4 linked regions of the Oryzias latipes genome follow. The protein of the gene in region 1 binds, or shares a complex with, the protein of each later gene. Links are inferred from orthologs where the notes say so. Each region holds a gene or a part of one and is shown in the gene's direction. Other genes may lie near its edges.

Region 1 (3,023 bases):
GTTGTACAGTAATGTACAACTATCAGTTGTAGATTTAGAATGTCATACTTGTTTTATCTTTTAAATAGTGCATTTTAAATTTGTAATCTTTAAAAGAAAAAAACTGTCAGTTATACATTTTATTGAAGCTACTGGACCAGTTTTTTTTGGGGGGGGTGTCTATATTTTCCGAAAGCTCTGTAGTCTGTCTCAAATTTATGTTTTAGTTCATGGGGAAAGCATTGGATAGAAATGAAATTAGGGCAAATAGTTTTTCTACACAGTTACCGAGAAATGTGTCTGAAAGAGGAATTTTTTTGTGTTTTTATATTTACTTTAATCGGTTTCAAATCATATTCGTAACCATTTGGATTTTGTTTTTCATTAAAAGGCTTACACCATTCAAAATCAGGTTTTTGAGCTTTTAAGTGTATTGTAATGTTTATTTCTCACTATAAACCCCAAAGCGGTGTTTTGATCCGTTTACGCATTTCTGGGTATTCCTCTAAAAATCTGCATTCTGAGCACCGGCGCCTCCTAACCCACGAAAACGAGCGGGTCCTCACATTGTGACATCATTAAGTGGAGAACAGTCGAAGGGGCAGGAAGAGTCTGCACTGCCAGCACCGCCCCCAGGCTAACACACAAACAATAAATTAAAAGATAAAATAATCAAACATTGATTAAAAATAAACATCAATGCTACTTGCACCTCACGCTTCCCAGCCTGATTTCTCTCTATTAAAATGCGAGCACTAACCTTTGAAATGTGTTTCCTTTATTATTTTGTAATAAATTATTTTGTTGTCATCATTTTTGTGGTTCATTGCAATACATCGTGTCCCCGTTTGTAATTCTTTGCGGACTTTGGACCTCGTCGTTTCTTCACCAAACAAGTGAAGACTCAATGTGTAGTAATGGCGCTTGTGTGTCATGCCGTATGTCCCGTGACGGCCAATCCAGTAACAAATAACAATGAACAAAGATGTAACAACAGTTTTGTCTTTGAGAATTTTTGAGTAAAAACAAACAAGTGACCCCTTTCCTCCATAAAGTCATCGTATCCTTTCCTGTGTGTCACAGAGGAGGCAGGTCCTGGAGGAGGCAGAGATGCTGGACCCTCGGGTCAGCGCTTTGGAGGAAGACCTGGATGAAGTGGAAAGCAGTGAGGAAGAAGATGAGGAGGACGAAAAGGTAACGGCCTTTGATGATGTGTTGATCTCTTGGTTTGGCCGAATATCATTGCAGGAGTTATAACTCCGTGTTTGCTTTCCGTGCCCACAGCCAGAGCGACTGCACTCCCCCGAACCTCACAGGCGGAGTTACCGTGACAACGACAGACCTCGCCGCTCACCGTCGCCACGTTACAGACGCAGCCGCTCACCCAGACGGTGGGTGTTGTCTCAGATCTTATGTCGTTCATGTACAGTGCTCAGCATAAATGAGGACACCCCACTACATTTGTCCGAAAACCTTCAGTGTTCTTTTGGAATTAACATTTTTCTACACAGGTGGACCATTGATTGCAAACCAGATATTTTAAGTTGCACACAAAAACGTGTGTTTTTGTTTTTTGACCTAACAAATTAGGTCACGCCCACGTTGTAAAAAGGAGTACACCCCAGTCAGAGTCTTAGGAGAAAAGCCAAACTTAAGACTACAGAATTCTAATTATCAGGCATTCAACCACAAGTGAGTCTACTGATTCATTTAAGACGTGTACAGCACAGAGGTGGCTAGAAAAGAGCATTTAACCAAAGAAAAGCCTGTCCTTTCTCAGATATTGTGACATTTCTTTTCCATGGGTAGCTATCGGAGACAGCATGAAATGGGAAGGGCTTTTTGGATCGTAATCTAAAAATTTAAGAAAGATGGAAGTGCAACCATCTTACAGAGACGTCCAGGCCGTCAACAGAAGCTAACATCTGAACAGGAGCGTCTTCTGATGAGAAAGGTTGAAGAAAATCGCCACTGTAGTTCACTGCAGTTAGCTAAAGCAGTAGAACGCCAAACTGGAGTGACCGTTTCCCGTGACACCATCCGGCGCACGCTGCAGAGGAATGGCACGCATGGTTATTGTCCACGAAAGAAGCCTTTCCCAAAGCCCGTGCACAAAAAAGCACGTCTAGAATTAGCTAAAAAAGATAAAGGCCTCAATACTCTGAAGTGATGAGACAAAGATCCCCCTTTTTGGAACTAATGGTTTTAAAACTATGGTGTTGCTGAAGTGAGAATTTCAAAGAAAAATGCATGGTGCCTACAGTGAAACATGGTGGTGGCAGTGTGCTGATGTGGGGCTGCTGGTGTCGGGGAGCTGCATTTCATTGATGGCATCATGAACTCAACAATGTACTGCTCTATACTAAAGGAGAAGATGCTGCCATCACTTTATGCACTTGGTCAAGGAGCACTTTTCCAACACAACAATGATCCAAAACACACTCCTGAAGCTACTGCTGCATTTCGGAAGAACAGGGTGAAGGTGATTGGATGGCCAACAGTGTTAGAAATAAGGGGGAAAAAATGGTTGTCCGAGGCAAGTAAACTTGGTTGTCCTCCCCAATTTTTGGTTTTCCTTCGATACCAATGAATTCAACAGCAACTAAACCTACTCAGATGTCAGTACTTACATCTTTATTTCTTCTATACATCTAATATTAACTGCCTCTTATGATGGACATTTAAAAAACTCTTTAAAATTAAAAACAAACATTTTACTAAATACTGAAGCATCTGGTTACACAAAGTATTGCCAAAAACTTGAAACCAATATCTTTATAACTAGTATCTTTACACAGATTTAAATATATTGGTTATTTTTTTCTTTGGTTTTTGATAATTGTTCCTTAAAGAATATAAAATACCAAAACTGTTGTAAAAAATTTAGAATATTATATCAATCCCATGGAAAAAGTTTTTTTTTCCAGCTCATGTCAGTCTGTTCTGTTATGAGTGAAAGTTATAGTGTTTATGAATGTGTTTTAAATCTTTTTGCGTGTTTTTGGAGACCTCTAGCGGTCGCGCCAGGTACTGTTGTTCAACAC
Region 2 (4,117 bases), on another chromosome or scaffold:
ATCGGAATGAAATCCATTTGAAAGTGTGATTTGATATGACATAAATATTTACTGACACCAAACAAACATTGAAAATTGGGTAAAATATTAATTAAACTTTTTAAGTCTTTTTTTGTTCTAAATATTTACTTTCATCAAAACTTTTTAGGTTTTGCACTTTTTTATAACCTATTGTAAGAGTTTCCTCTTCACCCTTACTGTCAGTTTTATAAATGTTAATTAATGTTTCACACAAAGAGCAGTGAAATGTTTTGCTAGTATTTATGTGTTGTAACATTTTTTTTATTAAAAGTAATGAATCTTTTATCACTTTTTTTTAAAAAATATTACTTTATGATGATTCTGCATTTCCAAGACCAGCGGTGACCCTGTGTGTAGTTCCCTCTTATTTGGTGGATTTAAATCTAGAAGAAGAGGTTATTTTAACAAACTGGAGCCTCATTATTTTTAAAAACATTTGTAATGGCTGAAAGGCTAAAAATAATTTCTCTGATGATAAAAAGTCTTGCTTTTTTGCTATGAGGCAGCCCCATACCATCATACTGCCTCTGCCCAAAGATGTTACCCTGCAGCATTCTGAACGTAGACTTTATTTTGATTCCAGGTTCCAGGGCACTTCACTGCTGAAAGCGTTTAGAGAAGTGTGAGCACTTTTCAGGGGTTGTTCTGCAAACCTTAGGATTTGTAGTAGTTGTCATTCTGGGGTTCATCTCCATCTTTGACTCCTTTCTGTGTGAAACTTGGCTTTCGGTTTGTGGATGAGCTAGAGCTCACCTCAAAAGAAGAGCAACACAAACCGACCACTGCAGCAGATGTATCAATCAAACAAGAGCCAACAACAAAATAAGAGATAACTCAAGACTTTTGGCTTTTTCTCTGAGAGTCTATCCTCAATTCTGCTGCTCAATCCAAAGGTGATTTTTTATTTGGGTAGATGTAAAAAGACACAATGCACTAAAATCAAATGTTCTTCTTTTTGTGTGACAGTTCAGATTTTTGCAATGTAGAATCAAACGTTGTTTATCTAATCAACTGGTTTATTTTCAAGCAATGAAAACGAATAGGCAAACAAAAAAAATAAAGACAAAAAGAATAGATGTATTTCTATACATATGTCAAACATATTTAGGATAAAAAATATGAATTGACTGGATTTTGCAGACGTAAAGATTTTTGATTGGATATTTGTTAAACACTGTTGGTGTTTTTTTAAAGGACAGAGTTAAAATGTGTTCATGAGGATTTAAAAGTCCTTAGTATTCTAACAGCCTCAGAACCGGAAGTGTCTGTGAGCTGTCAAGACAAATTCCATTCAGGCTTTTATTTTGAAGTGCAGTCGCCTCATCCATCACTTCCGTATCTCCTCCTTTGCTGCATGAGTGTTTCTGGCTGCAGGTTTCAGATAAATCATCATGTCTATAGAGGTGGAATCTGCAGAGTGAGTATTTTGTTTAAAATTTCCTAATGTGTTAATTATTATTGGCATAATTTAGCGGCTCATAATTCTATATGTCCTAGCAGTATCGTAGCTGAGGCCTGTTTCATCCTGACTAAAGTGAACTGTCGTTAGCCTCGTGAAGTACCGTAAATGTGGACCATTTAAACTATTTTTTTTGTTCTCTAAATGCACCAGTAAGGCACAGACTGTGCTTATATGTGCGTTACTTATCATTGCTACTTTTGGGCAGCAGGAACTACAACTTGACGATTAAATAAAAGTACTTTTGACGTAAGCTAACGATGCTAATGCTAACTTTGATGCTAATGCGAGGGTCGGCACAACACGGACGAGGATGAAGATGACGTTTAATTTAGGCTCTATTCAGCACAAATGTTTGTATAATTTGATTTTTATAATTTTCTTTTATAATTAAAATGATAAAAAACGTCTTCTGTTAACTAAAACTATTCAGACTATGGACGGTCCGGCTAATTATTAGTCCTAGTTTCGTTCATTAGGGAGTTTAAGATGGAACTTTTTCCTTTATTTGAATATCAATATTATTTATTTCACTGACAAGTGACATGAACTTTTATTCTTTATTTTTTATACAGTAGTTATAAATGTTCAAAATCAAAAGTTACCAAAGTTTTATTTGTGTATTTGTCTGAGAGTTTCATTCATTAATAGATTTCTTCTTTCTGCTGCATTTATAGTAAAATTGTCTAAATATTTTGTGTTATTGTCATACGACAACTAAGTTTTAGAGCCACCATAAAAAATAAACAAATGTTTAACAATAAACTCCAACTTTCCTAAAAATAAATTATAAGAAAGAAGTTGCGTAAAACTATTCAATAAAGTCCTAAATTTACACTAATTGTGTAGCGTAAAATTGATAGAAAGTTTAAATGAAACAAGATAGAAGTGTAAAATGATCAGGAAAAAGTTCAAATTTTATTACTGGTTGAATAATGTCGTAGAACATGTGAGAAATTTACCAAATTCTTTGAGAATAGTTGTTAAATTGTGAGAAAATGTCAACATTTTAAAAGAACAAAGTAGTTAAATTGTGAAAAATCACACCGCTGAATAATTTAAATGAATCTGCTTTTTTTTTTATTGATTTACACCTTTTCTTTACATGAAATTACAACTTTTTTTATGACTGACTTTGACCTTGTCAACGTAGAGCTGGTTAAATCATAGACTTACAATTTTGTTCTCATAAAGTTTTGACCTTTTTCCCCCCATATTTCTGACCATTGTTATTTTTTTTCTTACTGTTGTTTATTTTTTTATTTTTAAGTGTTTTATGTGGCACTGCAGCAAAATCCTAGTCTGTGAAACTGCTTTGTTCAATTGTTGACAATGGCAATAAAAACTCCTTGAATTCTTGTAAATTTTTTTATAACTTTATCCTCATAAGTTTAGTTTTTTTATGATGGTCTGTCATAGACAACAAATCATAGCTCCAATAGTGACGTTTTTGTAAAAACTGCTCAAATACAAAGATATATTTTGCTGCTGTAAAAGCTGCTCCTCATGGAGTTTTAGGCAGTAAAAGTTTGATCCCTAGACGATTGCGTCATTGAACAAGCAAGTTCCTGAAGGCAGCAACTGCTTTTTTGTTTCTGGATGTTTCGAGGGGACTGAACAGCCATTTGTCTTTTCCCCAGCGTGATCCGTCTGATCATGCAGTACTTGAAGGAGAACAATCTGCACCGGACCCTCGCCTCCCTGCAGGAGGAGACCACGGTGTCTCTGAACACGGTGGACAGCATCGAGAGTTTTGTAGCGGACATCAACAGCGGACACTGGGATACCGTCCTGCAGGCCATCCAGTCCCTCAAGCTGCCAGATAAAACCCTGATCGACCTCTATGAGCAGGTGAGCTTGGTGTTTGTGGAGTTCTTTGTCCTGTTCGATATCATCCTGCTTTCTAAAGGAGCACTAAGATGGAACCAAACATCCACTTCATGAAACCAGGTCTGTTCGGACTCACCTGGTCTCCTCTCACGTCTCCTCTTGCTCCTTCCTCAGGTCGTGTTGGAGCTGATAGAGCTGAGAGAGCTCGGCGCGGCGCGTTCCCTCCTCAGACAGACGGACCCCATGATCATGCTGAAGCAGACCCAACCGGAGAGATACATCCACCTGGAGAACCTGCTGGCCCGCTCCTACTTTGATCCCCGAGAGGTGAGGCTGCGAGATTCAAAGAACGCGAGCGCGTTCGTGTTTGTCCGTAACCGGGGACTGATTGGACCGTGCGCTCTATCCAGGCGTATCCTGACGGCAGCAGTAAGGAGAAGCGCCGGGCGGCCATTGCTCAGGCGTTGGCCGGAGAAGTGAGCGTGGTGCCTCCATCCCGTCTCATGGCTCTGCTGGGACAGGTGAGGAACCTGAAAAGCAACTGTTTTCGCCCACTTCCTGACAAGACTTCAACTGTTTACACACGACAAAAATACCCCAGGAAACCGGAGGTTCCTTTGGTGCTGCAATATTTGAAGGACTCTTGAAATTTGTCAAATCGTGTGCTAAATGACAAACCTATAGGCGTTTTCTCTTCTCTAGTTTTGTTTTATTTAAATCTATTGGATTAGAAAAACTTTCTAAATCTCTTTGGACAAAGTAACTGCTCCCCGACACACAATTTAGTGCTTTTGAATCACTTTTCTG
Region 3 (3,951 bases), on another chromosome or scaffold:
ATGCTTTTAAATAAGAGAAACAGTCAGCTTTAAAAGTTCAAACTTTAATGAAAAATGCATTGTTTTTAATTTTTAAACATTTCCAAGTTTTAGACCTCTTTGACATGTAATTGAAATTATTTAGAAAAGCCCAACAATAAGTCAATAATAATAATAAATAATAACAATATATAAATAATAAGTCAATAATAATAATAAATAACAAATATAAATAATAAGTCAATAATAATAATAATTAATAACAATATATAAATAAGTCAATAATAATAATAATAATAATAATAATAATAATAATAATAATAATAATAATAATAATAATAATAATGAATCAATAAATAATAATAATAATAAATCAATAGTAAGTCAATAATAATATTGAATGATAAAAATAAATCAATAATAGGTAAATAATAATAAATGATAATAATAAATCAATAATAAGTCAACAAAAAGTCCAAAAGTCAACAACAGATTTTCCCCTTTAAAAAAACAAAGAAAAGAAATAGATTTACCTCCTGATTCATGTTAGTGATAAATTTGTGTGACACAGTTGGTTTAGTGTCGGGTTTCAAGCTAACAGTCTGGCCAGTCTCATCAAAATCTGTTTCCTCAAATTGTTTTGAACATAGCCAGACTGTATTACTAGTTGGTACCACAGTGATCCATCTGGGTTAGCTCTTTTTATTGCTAAGGCCCACTTTTTCCTTAAGTCTGAATCCATTGGAAACCTGCAATAAAATTTCAGTCACTGAGTCAGAAATGTATAAATCTCTATTACTATAATAGCCTAGTATAATGTATACAGGTTTAACACAATAAAGTTTACATTTATATCGACAGCAAATTATACGTACATCATGCCTACATGTTGATAATCGCCCTGCAGCATCATGCATGAAAACATGTGTATGATTAATGATGCCCCTGCAGCATTAAAAGAAAAAAATATATAATACTTACCTGTGAAATGTTATGCCTTCCTCCTTCGTGGACTCATTTCTCTGATTTTGGCAGTTGAAACCCGAAAAATGAACTGGTATTTTGCAAGAAATGTGTTCACATGCATGCACTACAGCAGTAATTTGACCTCACCAAGATGGCGATGCTCTCCCCCCTTGAGGAATCACGTGATGTCTCCTCTACCGATAGAACTAAATTTAGACAGGAAACTAGCAATGACGAGCTGCAACATCCGGTGACGTATTTTCCGTAGGTAAACAAGATGGCGTCCGGCAGTGGGGTGAGTTTCCAAGCAGAATTTCTCTGCCCCTGTTTGTTGTAATACAGTTTAATTCAATAAACAAGATTAAAATTCTTCACTTTATATTTGGTACCGTGGAGGCGTTTTGACTGTAACCGTTACAGACATCAGCTGCTGCCGTTAGAAGCGCGGCCTCGGACTAGCAGCGGCTAACTCGCTCTGACGCTTGGGTACTTTATTTGCAGAATTTTACGGCCCTTTTTAAAAAAAAAAAAAATTAGTACCAAAAACGTTTTGACTCAACCGCCGTTAGTTTTTATCTTTAAAGGACTAATTCAAAGGTGTAACGAATTCCGGTGTGGCAAAATAAAAGCTCTTGAAGTTTATTTCGTAAAGCCGACTGTGATGATAATAAATGAAACTGTAATAATAAGGATAATGTCCTTTTTGGTTTTTGCAAATATGAAACAATGTTTCTGTTGCTATATTATAAAATTTATAAACCCACCCCTGTTGAAAATGTTTACTTTGATAATATGAATGAAAGGGAAGAGCTGTCGATCAATACAGACCATGAATTTCTGCTTTTTTTTTTTTTTTTTGGATGCTGGTGTGCCGCGGGATCTTTTTCAGGGTTAAAGTGTGCCGTGGCTCAAAAAAGGTTGAAAAACACTGGTCTAGAGTGACTTAGGGTTTCCTGTCCTGTAAGCACAGCTCCACCAGCAGGCGTATCCCCCTGGAGCCTGACGGCACCATGCATTTGGAGAGCTGATCAGTTTCAGGCTGCAGCTGCAGCCAGGATCAGGCTGTTGAACGGAGATTTCTGAAAAATCTAATGTTCATTATGAAGGATCTCTTTGGACTCATCTGTTTATCCAACATGGATGCTTCCCGTCAGCTGGATGTTCGGCCTGAGCCCTCCCCTTATCTCGGGTCACGGAGTAGGAACAGCCCTTTTCCCAAACACCATTAAATACGAGCAGCAGCATGGCTCACGCATAAATCATGGGTCACACGTTCCCCATGATTTGTGCGTTCATCCATACCTCTCTGAGCTTTTGGAATCTCGGTTAAGCTCATATCTTTCCCTGGAGGGACAGAGATCCAGGAGGAACCTCTGGGAAGAGCCAGCTCCTCCTGTTTGAGCTTGGAAGGTGCACAAGGCGTCAGCTCTGACAGTCCAACAGGCATCTTCACCGTCTGCATTTAAACATTCTTCTGACGAAGCATGAGGCTTTCCTGCTTTTGTTCCTTCTCTGTTGTTGTGTCTCTGTGGTTCTGTTTTAGAGTTTTATCAATGAAGTTGAGTTGAGAAGCTGTTGCTCTTTTGTCAGGAGGAGTAAAAGCTCCTCGTCTTCATCAGCTGAATGTTTGTTGAGATGTGAAGATAATCGAGGCGCTCTGAGTCATCTTCTCGTGTCTTCCAGTCCAGCAAGAACGACTTCCGGCGGAAATGGGACAAGGACGAGTACGAGAATCTCGCTCAGAAGCGGCTGAACGAGGAGCGCGAGCGGGAGCTCAGGGATGGTGAGGGCAGCGCTCTCCGTTCTTTGGGGACCCTTGGGGGTCAATCGCTTATCACCCCTGACGCATGACCTGTTGGCTCTTTCAGGAAAACCTGTCCCTCCCGTCAAGCGGGAGCTCCTGCGGCACAGAGACTACAAAGTGGATCTGGAGTCCAAACTGGGGAAAACTATTGTCATCACCAAGACCACCCCTCAGGCGGAGATGGGCGGGTGAGTTCCTGACGGCTTTGGGTTTGGAAAAATGGAAAACTGAAACTCTTTGAACCAATAAGAAAAAGTTGTGGAGCAGAAACGGACAGGTCTGGGTTCTGGTTCCGACATATTTTTTTTTTCAGATATTACTGCAATGTTTGTGACTGTGTGGTCAAAGACTCCATCAACTTTCTGGATCACATCAACGGCAAGAAACGTAAGTACACCTGTGCTTTAGGGAGGGGCCAAGAGCGCAGATGTAACGTGGATCATTTTATACAGTCAGGTCCATAAATAATGGGACAGCGACACAATTCCAACATGTTTGACTCTATATGCCACCAAAATGGATTTGAAATAAAACGAACAAGATGTGCTTTAACTGCAGACTGTCAGCTTTAATTTGTGGGTATTTCCATCCAGATCAGGTGAACTGTGTAGGAATTACAACAGTTTGCATCTGTGCCTCCCACTTGTTAAGGAACCAAAAGTAATGGTCAGAACAATAATCATAAATCAGACATTTACTTTTTAATACTTGGTTGCAAATCCTTTGCAGTCAATTCCAGCATGAAGTCTGGAACTCACAGACATCTCCAGACGCTGGGTTTCATCCCTGGTGATGCTCTGCCAGGCCTCCAATGCATCGGTCTTCAGTTCCTGCTTGTTGTTGGGGCATTTTACCTTCAGTTTTGTCTTCAGCAAGTGAAACATTGCATAACATTCCACTTCTTTCCCTTAAGAAGGCCTTTAGTTGCGGTTGCAGTTTGCTTTGGGTCATGGTCCATCTGCACTGTGAAGCGCCGTCCACTGAAGCATTTGGCTGATCATGAGCCCAAAAGCCTTCAGAATTCATCCTACTGCTTTTGTCAGCGTTCACATCATCAATAGATAGAAGAGAACAGTTCCATTAGCAGGCATACATGCCCACGCCATGACAATACCACCACCATGCTTCACTGATGAGGTGGTATGCTTAGGATCATGAGCAGTTCCTTTCCTTCTCCATACTCTGGTAGAGGTTGATCTTAG
Region 4 (4,140 bases), on another chromosome or scaffold:
GCCCCATACTAAATGGTCCACGTTTAGGCTTTAGCAGCATGTTTTCTGCTCAAACGTAGAAACAGACCTAAAGCGTCCTCTCAACCGGCCTGTTTTTGCATTTTTACCCTGGAAAGATCCAACCGGTGGCAGAAATCAAATGGAAGTAGTCCATGTTTGAAGCCACTTTATTCTGAGATGCACATGCAGGACGATGGCCTTCGACATCAGCGGCTGACGCCAGAGGAAGAGGGATGCACCTTCATCATCACCCCTCAGAATGAGCCACCTCGACGCTTTGTCTGGTTTAAAGATGCCCTTATCGCGGGGGGGGACTCACCTCGATGCACTGGCGGGGCACGAGCGTCCTCCAGCCGCTCCTCGTGCGCTGATGCTGCTGCTGCTGCTGATGCTGCTCTTCGGGCGTCTAACGGCGCGCTCCCAGCGTGCAGTCACGCCGTCTGAATCTAAATGGCTGAATGTTTCCGGGGAAAAACAAGCTGAGGAATTTCAATAACCCTTGGGTGAAGGAGACAAGGGCTGCTAAACCCGCAACAACTAATGTTTCATGAGGCTAAAGCCTGCTAAGAAAGACACGGGGAAACGGAGGCATTACGGAATGGGTGGGAGGGTGGGAGGGAGGGAGGCAACTGGAGACTGTTCGTTCGTCGGGACGACCCTTTGCTACAAACCGAGAGGCGGCGCGGCTCGGTTTCTTTAAGGGAGAGCAGATTCACACTGAGCCCGGCGGCTGCCACTTTCATCTGCGCGAGCCAAAACTACAACTTCCTGTCTGAGCTTTTCATAATTTAATGTTTGTATTGTCAACAAATTATGCAAAATATCCCTCTGTAGGTTCCCTGAATGCCCGTAATTATAATTAATATTGATATTATTCTTATTATAATAATTTTCATTATGAATGACGGTCATAGTATGATTGGTAGTGGAATAAAAACTCTCAAAAATGAAATACTTAAAAACAACATGACCAAAATAAATACGTTTCACACTTATTCAAATAAACAAAATGTTGGTCAAATCAAAAAAATACATTTAGGAATCACAGCCATGTATCTATCACTGCAACATGCACACGTAGCAACATAGACAATAAAAACAGCTAAAATAAATAATTGTAACATTGGTTTCAAATGCGCTGCTCAACAAATGTCCATTCGTTTCTAAATATTGCATTTGTCCTATTTCCACCCTTTTAAATTTAACATTTGTACGTTTTTTTCACGCTTCACCATACTTGAGTTTTAAGCTATTCGTGGTATTTTAGACTCACTGGTCTTTGTCGACACCTCGTGGACGTTTAACTCATCAACAGCTCTTGATTCTTGTCAGGCATCGGGCGGGCCACCTATATCCATTACGTATCGCAAAGCGAAGGACCCTCCAACGGCTTCTTGTCGTCGGAGCTAAAGAAAAACGTTCTATTTCATGAAGTTAAATCTCTTTGGAATCTGAATCATCTCTTTGAGCCCACTGGTAAAAGTTTCAATTTACAAATCTGCATCACCGTTCAACTTGTTGAGCTTTATATTTTTTTTAATGTGTAAAAAATATCGGTGAAAAAGCTGCACAGCTGTAGATTCATCGGTAAAAGTGGCGCCTTGAATGAATAGGCTCCCCCAAGCTAGCAGACTGAATAATGACTCCTTTCATATTAATTTTTTTCCCTTTAAACCTTTTTTGGGATATCGCAACAGCAATGCTCGAGTTGTATACGCCACAGTCTCGTGGTCGTTAAATAACATATTGTGTAAAATGCTAAAAAGGTAAAGCCTAATGCTATTACAAAATAGCTAGCTAATGTTGGCAGTTGCTGTGAAGTGTGTAAACAAAATATAACCCCTTCCCGTCCTCAAATCCCATACTTCAGTGTTTATTTCTTGTTGTATTTAGACAATTGTTTAAGTTTGATCTGTTTCACCAAGTTCAACGTGCGTCTTTTCCCTGACATTTTACGTGCCTGATACTAAAAGTTGCTTAGTTTGCGTGTCACTTGTCACATCTTTGTGCAGAGTTGGTAAATATACTTTTTAATTTTTTTCCTGTAGCTTTCACCCGGGCTAAGGTTCAGTTAGCCGCTCCAGAAGGTCGTTGTGTAGAAACAACTGACCAGCAATCATGTTTCTGTACAACATCACCCTGCAGCGCGCTACCGGCATCAGCCATGCCATCCATGGAAACTTCTCAGGTGAGCTTCTAGCGGTACTATGACGGCCTTCCACTGCTTTTGTCACTCAAGACCCACACCAATGAAAGCTGTGTTTTAATACGTTCTTTCCATGCTGGACTTACACTAAGAAAATTAAGCTTTAAATTGCATTTCTGAGTATTTCTTTATTCAAATAATTGGGAATTGGTAGCAGACAAAAATGCTACTGGGAAAAGCTTGTAGTAGTATGTAGGTACTATAGTTGCAGACCATAAACTCCTTTCTTCACTCCAAAATGTGCCATTCTCCCCTTAATCCTTTGATGCCTATTGATGCAAATATCCATTAAACCATTTCTTCTCCAAATCTACCTTAAGTAGACCTTAACTTGGCATCTACATGAAAACAAAGACATAAGTTATTTTTTTTCCTTCATTGTCCTAAATAAATTCATTTGTCAAATTATAGTAGTAGGTTTAGGGGCGGGTAAAAGAGCTGGTATATATGCGCTCATGGGGGAGGAGTCAGACCTGAAACTCCTCCCCCATGAGCGCATCTATACCAGCTCTTTTACAGCCAATTCAGAATTGACAATGCCTCTTGGATAAGAGGTGAAACATCTTCTAACTTTAAAGTACAAATGACGGCCTCTAAACCTACTCCTATTATGGAATCGACCTGGATGAATGAGAGTCTTCATAGACACATTTGTCAAATGGTTCAACACAAAGCTGATTGTTTTTTCTTCACAAACGTCTTATCTAATGTCAATACATTTTGTTTTTCATTATTTAGGAACCAAAATGCAGGAGATTGTAGTTTCCAGAGGAAAGATCCTGGAGTTACTGCGCCCAGACGCCAACACGGGGAAAGTGCACACACTCCTCACAATGGAAGTGTTTGGTATTGTGAGATCGCTGATGGCCTTCAGACTCACAGGAGGAACTAAAGGTATGTAACCATCATTATTTAACAATATGTTACAGGTGAAAGATTTGCTGATTTTGCTTTTCCTAAAAGAATGGTCAGAGTTTATTCTAAAAAGGCTTTGGTACTGATTTACAGATTTTTGTATGTGATTCTTTCGCTTAATTTTAATGATGAGGAATAAAATAAGCTTCACTCTCCTCATTGAACTTTATCCTGTAAAATTAGGTGTTTAGGTACCAAAGGATTAGAAAGAAATGTTGCTGCTTATTGAATCACTTGATTTGGTTTGCTTTTGATATTTGTGCTGCTGAAAATGATTTGAAAACTGTTTCTTCTTGTCATTAATTGTGATGTTTCTCAGTAATCTGTCAGTTAACTGTTACTGTTGAAGCTTTGTGTGTGTTTTGCTCTGGTTTGGTTTACTCTGGACAGAGATCTTCCCCCAAATATAAGCTGTCAGTTTTCAGTGACTGTGTTTGATGAAGGTCAAAACTCTTAAGCTAGCAGGAAGCCCTTTTTTCACGTTTACTTTATCCTCATTTTCAAAACAAATTCTCAAAGCGTGTGTTTGGTTAATTTGTTTGTTTGTAGATTATATTGTTGTTGGAAGTGACAGCGGACGCATCGTCATCCTGGAGTATCATCCATCTAAAAACATGTTTGAGAAGATCCACCAGGAAACCTTTGGGAAGAGCGGCTGCAGACGGATCGTCCCGGGACAATACCTGGCTGTAGACCCTAAAGGCAGAGCTGTCATGATAGGTGAGAGTTCTTAGCGTGTCCTTTAAATGCGCATTCTTTCAGTATTCTCTTCTTCACAATTTCAAATGGTTCCATGTGTAATTTTCAAAGAGTAGCAAACACACAGAGTGCAAAAGATCAATTAAAGTGAAGATTTCATACATTTGAAGTAATGAGAGATATTGAAATGAGAGATATTTTTGGTTTTCTCTCTGCTGTTTAATTAATTTAAAATGAATTTGTGCAACTTTTTCAATGAAGCAGGTTCTCTGTAATGATCGATTGAAACTGAACAGAAGGTTGCAAACATAGTTGAAAAA

What was found. The genes of interacting proteins can lie anywhere in the genome.
Region 2: prpf38a (region 1) and WD40 repeat-containing protein SMU1 share a complex: the UniProt entries of both Homo sapiens proteins name them as parts of the spliceosome B complex. The link is inferred for Oryzias latipes from reciprocal best matches to the Homo sapiens genes PRPF38A and SMU1.
Region 3: prpf38a (region 1) and zmat2 share a complex: the UniProt entries of both Homo sapiens proteins name them as parts of the spliceosome B complex. The link is inferred for Oryzias latipes from reciprocal best matches to the Homo sapiens genes PRPF38A and ZMAT2.
Region 4: prpf38a (region 1) and sf3b3 share a complex: the UniProt entries of both Homo sapiens proteins name them as parts of the spliceosome B complex. The link is inferred for Oryzias latipes from reciprocal best matches to the Homo sapiens genes PRPF38A and SF3B3.

What each region holds. Positions count from the first base shown.
Region 1 is NC_019862.2:23,723,324-23,726,346, reverse strand, and holds part of prpf38a (pre-mRNA-splicing factor 38A), read left to right. Parts: intron 1-1,062; coding exon 1,063-1,173; intron 1,174-1,263; coding exon 1,264-1,370; intron 1,371-3,023. UniProt on the Homo sapiens protein: Involved in pre-mRNA splicing as a component of the spliceosome.
Region 2 is NC_019868.2:28,087,898-28,092,014, forward strand, and holds the start of WD40 repeat-containing protein SMU1, read left to right. Parts: upstream 1-1,317; 5' UTR 1,318-1,412; coding exon 1,413-1,438; intron 1,439-3,120; coding exon 3,121-3,331; intron 3,332-3,484; coding exon 3,485-3,637; intron 3,638-3,720; coding exon 3,721-3,831; intron 3,832-4,117. UniProt on the Homo sapiens protein: Involved in pre-mRNA splicing as a component of the spliceosome. Regulates alternative splicing of the HSPG2 pre-mRNA. Required for normal accumulation of IK.
Region 3 is NC_019872.2:3,288,058-3,292,008, reverse strand, and holds the start of zmat2 (zinc finger matrin-type protein 2), read left to right. Parts: upstream 1-1,151; 5' UTR 1,152-1,222; coding exon 1,223-1,240; intron 1,241-2,628; coding exon 2,629-2,728; intron 2,729-2,813; coding exon 2,814-2,937; intron 2,938-3,062; coding exon 3,063-3,136; intron 3,137-3,951. UniProt on the Homo sapiens protein: Involved in pre-mRNA splicing as a component of the spliceosome.
Region 4 is NC_019864.2:25,095,881-25,100,020, forward strand, and holds the start of sf3b3 (splicing factor 3B subunit 3), read left to right. Parts: upstream 1-1,340; 5' UTR 1,341-1,476; intron 1,477-2,048; 5' UTR 2,049-2,118; coding exon 2,119-2,188; intron 2,189-2,944; coding exon 2,945-3,100; intron 3,101-3,670; coding exon 3,671-3,841; intron 3,842-4,140. UniProt on the Homo sapiens protein: Component of the 17S U2 SnRNP complex of the spliceosome, a large ribonucleoprotein complex that removes introns from transcribed pre-mRNAs.